3 linked regions of the Nothobranchius furzeri genome follow. The protein of the gene in region 3 binds, or shares a complex with, the protein of the main gene of each other region. Links are inferred from orthologs where the notes say so. Each region holds a gene or a part of one and is shown on either strand. Other genes may lie near its edges. The genes, in order: notch1a, f7l and poglut1.

Region 1 (3,653 bases), on a different chromosome or scaffold from region 3:
GATGCAGAGGCTGTCGGTGGGGGTTAGACACTCTGGCCCTGTGAATGTTGAAGGGCACAGACAGCGTGGACCAAGGTGGCCTGATACGCATGTTCCACCATTCTTGCAATTCAGACTCCCACAGGACCGAGAATCATACTCGCAAGAAGAGCCAGTGAAGCCCTGAAGGAACACAAACAGAATTAGTTTGCTGTTATTATAAAATAAAACATCAGAATTGAAAGGGGCATTTGTATAAGAAGATGTTTTAAGAGAACTTACAGGTGGACATCTGCAGATAAAACCATGAGGCGTATTACTGGCAACAGCGCAAGTCCCTCCATTCCTGCAGGGTCTTCCCTTGCAGCCATCAAACACTTTGTCACAACGCTGACCTGTAAAACAGAAAAAATTGTGCCAGGTTCTTTTTCATACATCTATTTTATTCCTTGAGTAATGTGTTGCTAGAAACAAAGCAGTACCTGTATATCCAGTTCTGCATTCGCACCGATAGCTGTTGGTGAGCTGGATGCAGTTGTAGGACCCTCTAGGGTCACAAGGGTCTGACAAGCATTCATTGACATCGCCCTCGCAGCGTTCACCAACATAACCTGGTGGGCACACACACTGGTAGCCTCCAATGCGGTCCACACATTTGCCATTATTGAAGCACTTGGGCTCTTTGGTAAAGGGGTCGATAGGGGGGTTGCAGTCATCCAAGTTAATTTCACAGTGAACACCTACAGAAAGCAGACACATTGGATCAGAACATGTTTTTCATCAATTATGGTCACATGTAGGTTGTTATTTGATTATATTGGGCATGCATATACAGTATATACCTTGTGTCCCTCTGGGACAGGAACATTTGTATGTGTTGATGAGATCTATGCAGGTGCCTCCATTCTGGCAGGGTTGAGACTGACATTCATTAATGTCTTTGGAACAGTTTCTCCCATGATAACCAGGAACACACTGACAAAAGAGAAAGTTAAGAATAATTAATTATTTAAAATGTTCCCCCTTAAGTTATGAGGTGATTTTGATCAGTCATATTTAATTTACCTCACAGCTGTAACCTCCCAGATAATCGGTGCAGGTTGCTCCATTCTGGCATGGATTTGGTGAGCACTCATCCACCTGCTCCTGGCAGTAACTCCCCGTGTAACCAGCCTGGCAGCGACAGTAATGTGTGTTCCCAGCATCCAGACATTGGCCAGAATTCCTGCACAACTGAGACACTTCCACACCTGTAATCAAAACGGAAAATGGTTTGCAGAATGCATCAGTCACACACACACCAGACTTAGATCCAATCAAGTCAAACGTACAAGCTAAAACGCATGAAGTGAATTGTTCTACCTTGTTGTTTGGCTGCAACCTCACAAGACACACTTGGGATGTCACAGTACAGGCCAGTCCACCCAGTCTGACACTGGCAGGTGTAGGATGCTCCCTGCTGCCAGCAGGAGCCTCCATTTTTACAAGGTGAAGAGTCGCACCAGCGCACAAGATTCTAAAAAAGGAACCAAACGGATCAATCATAACTGCGAAATTAAAAAGCAAACCACCCCTTACCAGAGTCTTACTCCACTCCTACTTCCTGTTTGAAAAATGCAAAGAGTGGAGGGTGGAGCCGCTAACAAATACACACGCACACAGGCTCAGAACAACTTTGTGACATAATAGTGTACCAGCTAACGTCATTGTATACCTCTTAGCAAATAGCAATGGCAGATTTAAATTCAATGCAGTGCAGAGTTCTTACCTGAAGAGGGTGCAATACTGGCAGAATATTGACATTTTAACTAAGATGCACTAAAGTGACAAATTATTGACTACACGTGTCTACTGCATGATTAGACGCTTGTTTATATAATTTATCAGCAAAAAATTTTTGATTTGGGGGGGCATTGCTCTTTAAGCAAGAATATGAATGTGTCAGAGTCTGTGATTAAATAAAGCTCCTACCTGACAGTTGACTCCAGTGTAGCCATGAGGACAGGTGCACTTGTATGTCCCATAACTGTCAAGACAGGTTCCGCCATTGAGACACGGCTTGGAGTCACACTCGTTGATGTCATACTGACAGTAGCTGCCGGTGAATCCGGTTAGACACAGGCAGGTGAATGTGTTGATTCCATCCATGCAGGTGCCACCATTGAAACAAGAGCTGTAAAATAAAATGAAATTAAATCTATTCTAAAGATTCTAGCACTCAGTTTTGCATACCTCATCTTATAAGTGTGTATGTTAAGTAAAACTACCTGTCAGTACAGTCGTTGGTGTTGATCTCACAGTTGATACCACTAAAGCCTGGTGGGCAGGTGCAGGTGTAGCTGTTGACACAGTCAGTGCAGTTGGCCCCATTCTTACAAGGGTTGCTCTCACATTCATTTATGTCCTGCTCACACCGGCTGCCGTGAAACCCAGGCAGACAAGTACACATGAAACTGTTGATGCCATCATGACACAGTCCCCCATTACTGCATGGATCTAAAATAGAGAAAAGTAAGGTTGCAGTTTGTTGTAGTGTTTCACAAGACTGGAACTTGCAGTTCTGCAGATAACTGACTTACTCGGTTTGCAGTCATCTATGTCTGTCTCACACTTTTTGCCACTGTAACCCGGCTTGCACTTGCACTGGTAGCCGCCCATAGTGTTAAGGCACAGAGCACTGTTACGGCACGGATGTTTCACGCATTCATTGATATCGATTTCACAAGTTTGACCTGTAGTTTGGGAAAACAGTGATTGAAGAAACATTGTAAAATCCAGTTGTTTGAACGATCAACTGACTTACACAAACGTGAGTAGATGCATACCTTGCCAACCTTCAGGGCAGATGCAGGAGAAGCTCTGGTAGTCTTCTGCCTCTTTACATATGCCACCATTTTTACATGGTCGAGGGCTGCAGGGGGCCAGCAGGGTCTCACAGTTTTCACCTGGTAACACATCAAACATCGGATTTAGCACTGGTTGTTGCTCATTTCTACAGCAGTTGCTTGTTTAAAAAAAAAAACAATAATGGTTACTCATAGTACATGTTCAGGTAAACAGTTCATTTTTGAAAGTAGCATCACTTTTCAAATTCCCTTTTCCATTCCACTTCCTTATCCATTTCCATGATGACTTAGCCAAACAGGAAGGGCCTTCCTGTTTCCTGCCATTGTGTGATTTTAGACAGGAAACAGCACACAACGGAAGTGGGGCTAAAGCTTGGACTTGAGTGTGCTTCTCATATCAACTGCTGTGGCATGTTATTGCAAACCACACATACTATGTTATCCCTGGAAAACAGACAAGCACATCTTTCCACACTGAGATGTCAACAAGGCATCCCTGCAGTTAGCAATCATCTGGTGTTTTCTCAGACAACACATTGTGTGATAGGATAAACCCGTTGGTCGGATGTTGGAGTACTATCTTTACGTTTTCAGACCTGCACAAACAGCTGAGACGGCAACAAACAGCCTTCAAGAATATAGGAAGTCTGACACTTTCCAAGAGAGATAGCCTCTCTATGTCATACCAGTGTAAGGCAGCTGACAGTTGCATTTGTATCCAGCCACATCATCAATGCAGGTTCCCTGATTGAGGCAAGGATTGGATGCACACTCATTGATGTTAGTTTGGCAGTTAGGCCCTGCAGTGATGGGATTAGAACAAAAACA
Region 2 (3,753 bases), on a different chromosome or scaffold from region 3:
TGTGTGTGTGTGTGTGTAGTCTGCAAATGTGTCTTAAATTCACCATGTTACCGTCTCACCGGCTGCACTGCCAGGTTTCCCATCCAGGGATAGACTTTGTTTAAATTTGAGCACATTTTCCGTCTGATGGGAGGCGAGTTAAGCTCAGAGTCTGCATGGCGCAGTGGTTAGCCCTGTTGCCTCGCAGCACGAAGGTTGCAGGTCCGAAACTCAGCTGCGGCCTTTCTGCGTGGAGTTGCGTGCAACAAAATAAAGACAAATAAATACCTCGTTGGCTGTTTTGCTTAAAACACAAAGGGAATCCATCTGTCTTCCTTTAAGTCCTTTCATTATTTATTCCTTCGGCAATGCATTGAATCTGTCCATTCTCAGCTAGCTGCTTGTAAGCACTTCATCCAGGTTCTGTGTGTTCCTCACACCTGGCTTGTATTCATCAATTAAGGGTGTGGCTGTCAGCAGCTCATGTAGCTTTTCAAAATAAAATTACAGGAAGCACAACCAACCCAGTGTCTTACAAATGGGAAAAATAAATAAATGAAGATATAAACAGCAACAGCAGTTACACCATGCATGTGTGGGTTTCCTCCGAGTACTCCGGTTTCCCCCACAGATCACAACATGCCCTATAGGTTATAGATTGTAAGTCGCTTTGGATAAAAGCGTCTGCCAAATAAATAAACATAAACATAGAGTCTCTTCTTCCAGGTTCAGACTTTTTGTGTTTGTGTTCAGGTGAGAACTGCAACCGCGGGGCAGCGCTCGGGGCCCTTCTGGGGGCTGGGGCCGCCCATGCCGGATTGGGCGTACCTCCAGAGTGGAAGGACAAACTCAGAGATGCCCAGGAGTTCCTCCCCAACATCTTGAAGGAGGTGCACTGAGAGCCGCCCTGCCCTCTGGAGGACAGGAGGAGAACTTTCAGAAGAGCATTAAAATCTACTTCCTCTTTACGGGTGCCTCATCTCTCCTAAAATTAGAACATGATTTTTATTAATGATGAATTTATTTTCTGCACTTCTCACTTTGTAAATGAATAAGAATCAGAAAACCTTTCAATGAAATATTATTCAATGTTTTTCTTATATATTACATTATTCTTATTATTGTCAGGCTGTGCTGTTTTTCGTTAAAGCTTTGAAATAAAATATTCACATGCTCAGACCAAAGTAATAACTCGTCTTTTGTGTGTTTATTATTTATGAGTTTGTGAGTTACTGTAGATGACCAGAACATTTCAACCAGATGTTTATTATCAGAATTGTTGAACACAAATAAACGAGTGTCTTTTAACCTGAAACAGGAAGTCAAACGTGTGGAGAATGCAAGTGTTTTTGTGTGTTTGTTTTTCACTACGTGACCTTTGGTCGGGCCACAACAATCATGGCGTTCATCAGCAAAAAGACGAGTCGTGTCTTCTTCCTACTGCTCATCACTGCTTCTCTCCCATCATGCACTGGGACTCAAGGAGGTCAGTTTGTTCCTTCAACTCTTCTTCTTCACCTCAGGGATCCGTTCCCATCAGGACTCCATCAGAGGAGTGCAGACCACAAGCAGATTACACAATCTGATGGCTTAAACTTTTCCTGTTTTATTAGTTTGTTCTATAATATTTATTTCTCTAACTGATTTTAGTGAGCAGGACTTTATGAAATTGTATTAAATATAATATATTATAAAATCAGGATTGGTGTTAATATGTTTAAAAAATCTGTAAAAGTTAATTTTAATAAGATTTTTAAAAATTACGTTATAGAGAACATTTTTATTTAGATATGAGCTGGTCTGGATATGAGATGGTCTGGATATGAAAGGGTCTGGATATGAGATGTCTGGATATGAGATGGTTTGGATATGAGATGGTCTGGATATGAGATGTCTGGATATGAGATGGTTTGGATATGAGATGTCTGGATATGAGATGGTCTGGATATGAGATGGTTTGGATGTGAGATGTCTGGATATGAGATGTCTGGATATGAGATGGTTTGGATATGAGATGGTCTGGATATGAGATGGTTTGGATATGAGATGTCTGGATATGAGATGGTTTGGATATGAGATGTCTGGATATGAGATGGTTTGGATATGAGATGTCTGGATATGAGATGGTTTGGATATGAGATGTCTGGATATGAGATGGTTTGGATATGAGATGTCTGGATATGAGATGGTTTGGATATGAGATGTCTGGATATGAGATGGTTTGGATATGAGATGTCTGGATATGAGATGGTTTGGATATGAGATGTCTGGATATGAGATGGTCTGGATATGAGATGGTTTGGATATGAGATGTCTGGATATGAGATGGTTTGGATATGAGATGGTTTGGATATGAGATGTCTGGATATGAGATGTCTGGATATTAGATGGTTTGGATATGAGATGGTTTGGATATGAGATGTCTGGATATGAGATGGTCTGGATATGAGATGGTTTGGATATGAGATGTCTGGATATGAGATGTCTGGATATGAGATGGTTTGGATATGAGATGGTTTGGACATGAGATGTCTGGATATGAGATGGTTTGGATATGAGATGGTTTGGATATGAGATGTCTAGATATGAGATGGTTTGGATATGAGATGGTTTGGATATGAGATGGTTTGGATATGAGATGTCTGGATATGAGATGGTTTGGATATGAGATGGTTTGGATATGAGAGGTCTGGATATGAGATGGTTTGGATATGAGATGGTTTGGATATGAGATGTCTGGATATGAGATGTCTGGATATGAGATGGTTTGGATATGAGATGTCTGGATATGAGATGGTTTGGATATGAGATGTCTGGATATGAGATGTCTGGATATGAGATGTCTGGATATGAGATGTCTGGATATGAGATGGTCTGGATATGAGATGTCTGGATATGAGATGTCTGGATATGAGATGGTCTGGATATGAGATGTCTGGATATGAGATGTCTGGATATGAGATGGTCTGGATATGCGATGGTCTGGATATGAGATGTCTGGATATGAGATGTCTGGATATGAGATGGTCTGGATATGAGATGTCTGGATATGAGATGTCTGGATATGAGATGGTTTGGATATGAGATGGTCTGGATATGAGATGGTTTGGATTTGAGATGTCTGGATATGAAATGTCTGGATATGAGATGGTTTGGATTTGAGATGTCTGGATATGAGATGGTTTGGATATGAGATGGTTTGGATATGAGATGTCTGGATATGAGATGGTCTAGATATGAGATGGTTTGGATATGAGATTGTTTGGATATGAGATGTCTGGATATGAGATGGTCTAGATATGAGATGGTTTGGATATGAGATTGTTTGGATATGAGATGGTTTGGATATGAGATGTCTGGATATGAAATATCTGAATATGAGATGTCTGGATATGAAATGTCTGAATATGAGATGTCTGGATATGAGATGGTTTGGATATGAGATGGTCTGGATATGAGATGGTTTGGATTTGAGATGTCTGGATATGAGATGTCTGGATATGAGATGGTTTGGATTTGAGATGTCTGGATATGAGATGGTTTGGATATGAGATGGTTTGGATATGAGATGTCTGGATATGAGATGGTCTAGATATGAGATGGTTTGGATATGAGATTGTTTGGATATGAGATGTCTGGATATGAGATGGTTTGGATATGAGATGGTTTGGATATGAGATTGTTTGGATATGAGATGGTTTGGATATGAGATGTCTGGATATGAAATGTCTGAATATGAGATGTCTGGATATGAAATGTCTGAATATGAGATGT
Region 3 (3,753 bases):
TCACATCTCTCCCTCTCCTCTCGTCCTTTATCTCCTCCTCTTGCATCATCCAAATATCAGGAGGGTTTTACTCCTCCTCCCTCAAACTCAAAGGAGGACATTTAGAAGAATATTCATTCAGCAGACGTTCCAAATCGAGAAATTAAAAAATGTCACTGTTTATAAAGATGATGTTGCTATGGGGAGATGTAGTTACAAATATTACCTTTTGAAAAAAATGCATGCCTGTGATTTCCATGCATTTCCTATATATATATATATATATATATATATATATATATATATATATATATAGGAAATGCATGGAAATCACAGGCAAATGCATGGAAATCACAGGCATATATATATATATATATATATATATGGCTGTGCAGTGGTTAGAGCTGTTGCCTTGCAGCAAATAGGTCCTGGGTTTGCTTTTGCATGGTCTCCCTGTGCATACGTGGGTTCTCTCCGGGTCCTCCGGCTTCCTCCCACAGTCCAAAAACATGACTGTTAGGTTGATTGGTCTGTCTAAATTGTCTTTAGGTGTGAGTGTGTGTGTGCGTGATTGTTTATCCTGAGTGTCTCTGTGCTGCCCTGCGATGGACTGGCTCTCTGTCCAGGGTGTACCCCGCCTGATTGCCCATCAGTCCCCCCCCCCCCCCCCCCCACACACACACATAATAGTGATGTTATTAATGGTGGTGATAGTGATTAACATTTTCTTCCAACGTCCACATACTTTTCTTTCTTTTATAATTTAGCTATTCTGATGTAGCTTTAGTTTATCACACATTATTGTCAAATAAGGTAAATTTGTCTATTTGTAAATATTTTTCACATATACATTGTACTTTATACAGTTTGCATTCGTTTTCTTTTTATATACCGCTGCTGTTACACCTACGTTGTTGCACTGAAGGACATTACATAAATTTTCTGTTCAAATTTTCTTGCTTCAGTAAGATAAAATGACTGAAGTAATGCTTAGTGACTCAAGAATAAATTGATATTTTAGTACACGTTTTCTTTTTTAAGCCAAAAACAGAGAATAAAACTTGCCCTCTTGTAAGCGCCCCGTGATAAAATGGTCCTTTTGGTGCGCATTACCGTAATAACCAAATTCAGACAGAATTAACAGATAACCGATCGCTGCTTTGTTCTCAGACAAAGTTAAAGGATAAAGGCAAACATGGAGCGTAGCTGTTTGTGGAGTTCTTTATTATTTCTGCAAGTTTGTTGTTTCACTTCGGTCGGTGTATCAGGTACTAATTTAGCTTTAAAGATCTTGGTTTTAAAATACCTTAAATGCAAGCATTACATTTTGTTTGGACTCTTCGAGGTAACTCGATAGAAATGAATCAGTTAGCAGCTAGCTGCTGTAAGCTAACCCCTTTAAAGTGACCACGTTTGGTAAAGTTAGCGGCTAAATTACATTAATGTGGTGTTTTCCCCTAAAGACTGAGAGAGAATTACAAATGCGTCTGATAACTAATAAAAACCAATGCCGTGCCAGTGTCTGACCGCTTCAGATATGTACTTACTGTATTGAAACGAGCATTTGTGGGCTAAAGTTTACTCAGTTTGATTCATTTGTTTTCCACAACTCATAAAACGAACAACTAGACATCTGCTGAGATAAATCTAGTTTATACAGATAGTTTGAGGAAGCTGAAATATAGATTGTACTAGTTTCAGATTTTGTCACCCATTATAAATTGAGATACTCATGTTTTTATTTTATATTTGGGCATAAAACTTAATTTTGGGAACTTTACTTATTTTACTTATTTTTACAATTAAATCTATGAAAAACCAAATGCTGGCAGGGATAAAGATTTTTGATCAAAGTGGTTATCGTCAAGCTAAACTCTTTGGATGTTTTTAGGTGTTGCAACAAAATGTGTGAGACCATCTTCAGTTAGCTAAAGGCCACCAGACCATCTCCAGTTAGCTAAGACCATCTCCAGTTAGCTAAAGGCTAGAAGACCATCTCCAGTTAGCTAAAGGCTAAAAGACCATCTCTAGTTAGCTAAAGGCTAGAAGACCATCTCCAGTTAGCTAAAGGCTAGAAGACCATCTCCAGTTAGCTAAAGGCTAGAAGACCATCTCCAATTAGCTAAAGGCTAAAAGACCATCTCCAGTTAGCTAAAGGCTAAAAGACCATCTCCAGTTAGCTAAAGGCTAGAAGACCATCTCCAGTTAGCTAAAGGCTAAAAGACCATCTCCAGTTAGCTAAAGGCCAGAAGACCATCTTCAGTTAGCTAAAGGCAACCAGACCATCTCCAGTTAGCTAAGACCATCTCCAGTTAGCTAAAGGCTAGAAGACCATCTCCAGTTAGCTAAAGGCTAGAAGACCATCTCCAGTTAGCTAAAGGCTAAAAGACCATCTCCAGTTAGCTAAAGGCTAGAAGACCATCTCCAGTTAGCTAAAGGCTAGAAGATCATCTCCAGTTAGCTAAAGGCTAGAAGACCATCTCCAGTTAGCTAAAGGCTAGAAGACCATCTCCAGTTAGCTAAAGGCTAGAAGACCATCTCTAGTTAGCTAAAGGCTTGAAGACCATCTCCAGTTAGCTAAAGGCTAGAAGACCATCTCCAGTTAGCTAAAGGCTAGAAGACCATCTCCAGTTAGCTAAAGGCTAAAAGACCATCTCCAGTTAGCTAAAGGCTAAAAGGCCATCTCCAGTTAGCTAAACGCTAAAAGACCATCTCTAGTTAGCTAAAGGCTTGAAGACCATCTCCAGTTAGCTAAAGACTAGAAGACCATCTCCAGTTAGCTAAAGGCTAGAAGACCATCTTCAGTTAGCTAAAGGCTAGAAGACCATCTCCAGTTAGCTAAAGGCTAGAAGACCATCTCTAGTTAGCTAAAGGCTAAAAGACCATCTTCAGTTAGCTAAAGGCTAAAAGACCATCTCCAGTTAGCTAAATGCTAAAAGACCATCTTCAGTTAGCTATAGGCTAAAAGACCATCTTCAGTTAGCTATAGGCTAAAAGACCATCTTCAGTTAGCTAAAGGCTAAAAGACCATCTTCAGTTAGCTAAAGGCTAGAAGACCATCTCCAGTTAGCTAAAGGCTAAAAGACCATCTCTAGTTAGCTAAAGGCTAGAAGACCATCTCCAGTTAGCTAAAGGCTAGAAGACCATCTCCAGTTTGCTAAAGGCTAGAAGACCATCTCCAGTTAGCTAAAGGCTAGAAGATCATCTCCAGTTAGCTAAAAGCTAGAAGACCATCTCCAGTTAGCTAAAGGCTAGAAGACCATCTCCAGTTAGCTAAAGGCTAGAAGACCATCTCTAGTTAGCTAAAGGCTAGAAGACCATCTCTAGTTAGCTAAAGGCTAAAAGACCATCTTCAGTTAGCTAAAGGCTAAAAGACCATCTCCAGTTAGCTAAAGGCTAAAAGACCATCTCTAGTTAGCTAAAGGCTAAAAGACCATCTGCCGTTAAAACCAAGCATACGTTTTTCATCGCGATTTCTCCCACGTTTTATTTCATGTGTTTGTTTTAGAGACGACTACAGAGTTGTGCTGCATGCTCTTTAGGGTTCATTATCTTGTGTTTTTGCAGAAAATCAGTGGAAGAAAATTAGACGAACAATTTCAGAAGCTGTGAAAGAGTTCACTCCATGTAGTCCCGTCAACTGTAGCTGTCATAGTAGGTGAGTGATCAGTCTTCCTCGTCATTTTACCGTCAGAAAATTCACATTTATGCTTTTTACTTATGTTTTGTTTGAATTTTCCACCTCAGTGTCTTAGAACGTGACCTGGAGCCTTT

What was found.
Region 1: the proteins of poglut1 (region 3) and notch1a are in contact, whole or in part, in a crystal structure (PDB 5UB5), measured with the Homo sapiens proteins. The link is inferred for Nothobranchius furzeri from reciprocal best matches to the Homo sapiens genes POGLUT1 and NOTCH1. Residues at the interface, in NP_689518.1 of Homo sapiens: Met103, Phe104, Pro105, Ser106, Arg107, Asp133, Gly170, Pro171, Ala172, Val173, Trp174, Pro178, Thr179, Gly180, Thr214, Asn239, Gln240, Ala241, Val274; in NP_060087.3 of Homo sapiens: Asn454, Glu455, Cys456, Val457, Asn459, Pro460, Cys461, Gln462, Asn463, Asp464, Ala465, Cys467, Gly472, Glu473, Phe474, Val485, His486.
Region 2: the proteins of poglut1 (region 3) and f7l are in contact, whole or in part, in a crystal structure (PDB 5L0S), measured with the Homo sapiens proteins. The link is inferred for Nothobranchius furzeri from reciprocal best matches to the Homo sapiens genes POGLUT1 and F7. Residues at the interface, in NP_689518.1 of Homo sapiens: Met103, Phe104, Pro105, Ser106, Arg107, Arg132, Asp133, Pro171, Ala172, Trp174, Pro178, Thr179, Thr214, Asn239, Gln240, Ala241, Val274; in NP_000122.1 of Homo sapiens: Asp108, Gln109, Cys110, Ala111, Ser112, Ser113, Pro114, Cys115, Gln116, Asn117, Gly118, Gly119, Cys121, Gln126, Ser127, Tyr128, Arg139, Asn140.

Annotation. Positions count from the first base shown.
Region 1 is NC_091746.1:60,826,881-60,830,533, reverse strand, and holds part of notch1a (neurogenic locus notch homolog protein 1), read right to left. Parts: intron 3,626-3,653; coding exon 3,512-3,625; intron 2,925-3,511; coding exon 2,805-2,924; intron 2,712-2,804; coding exon 2,559-2,711; intron 2,476-2,558; coding exon 2,247-2,475; intron 2,153-2,246; coding exon 1,951-2,152; intron 1,496-1,950; coding exon 1,342-1,495; intron 1,230-1,341; coding exon 1,045-1,229; intron 955-1,044; coding exon 822-954; intron 720-821; coding exon 462-719; intron 375-461; coding exon 262-374; intron 163-261; coding exon 1-162. UniProt on the Homo sapiens protein: Functions as a receptor for membrane-bound ligands Jagged-1 (JAG1), Jagged-2 (JAG2) and Delta-1 (DLL1) to regulate cell-fate determination.
Region 2 is NC_091743.1:82,200,149-82,203,901, forward strand, and holds the start of f7l (coagulation factor VII), read left to right. Parts: upstream 1-1,163; 5' UTR 1,164-1,377; coding exon 1,378-1,465; intron 1,466-3,753. Other genes in the region: uncharacterized protein, read left to right, coding at 733-878. UniProt on the Homo sapiens protein: Initiates the extrinsic pathway of blood coagulation. Serine protease that circulates in the blood in a zymogen form. Factor VII is converted to factor VIIa by factor Xa, factor XIIa, factor IXa, or thrombin by minor proteolysis.
Region 3 is NC_091754.1:55,565,134-55,568,886, reverse strand, and holds the start of poglut1 (protein O-glucosyltransferase 1), read left to right. Parts: upstream 1-1,122; 5' UTR 1,123-1,174; coding exon 1,175-1,247; intron 1,248-3,546; coding exon 3,547-3,637; intron 3,638-3,726; coding exon 3,727-3,753. UniProt on the Homo sapiens protein: Dual specificity glycosyltransferase that catalyzes the transfer of glucose and xylose from UDP-glucose and UDP-xylose, respectively, to a serine residue found in the consensus sequence of C-X-S-X-P-C.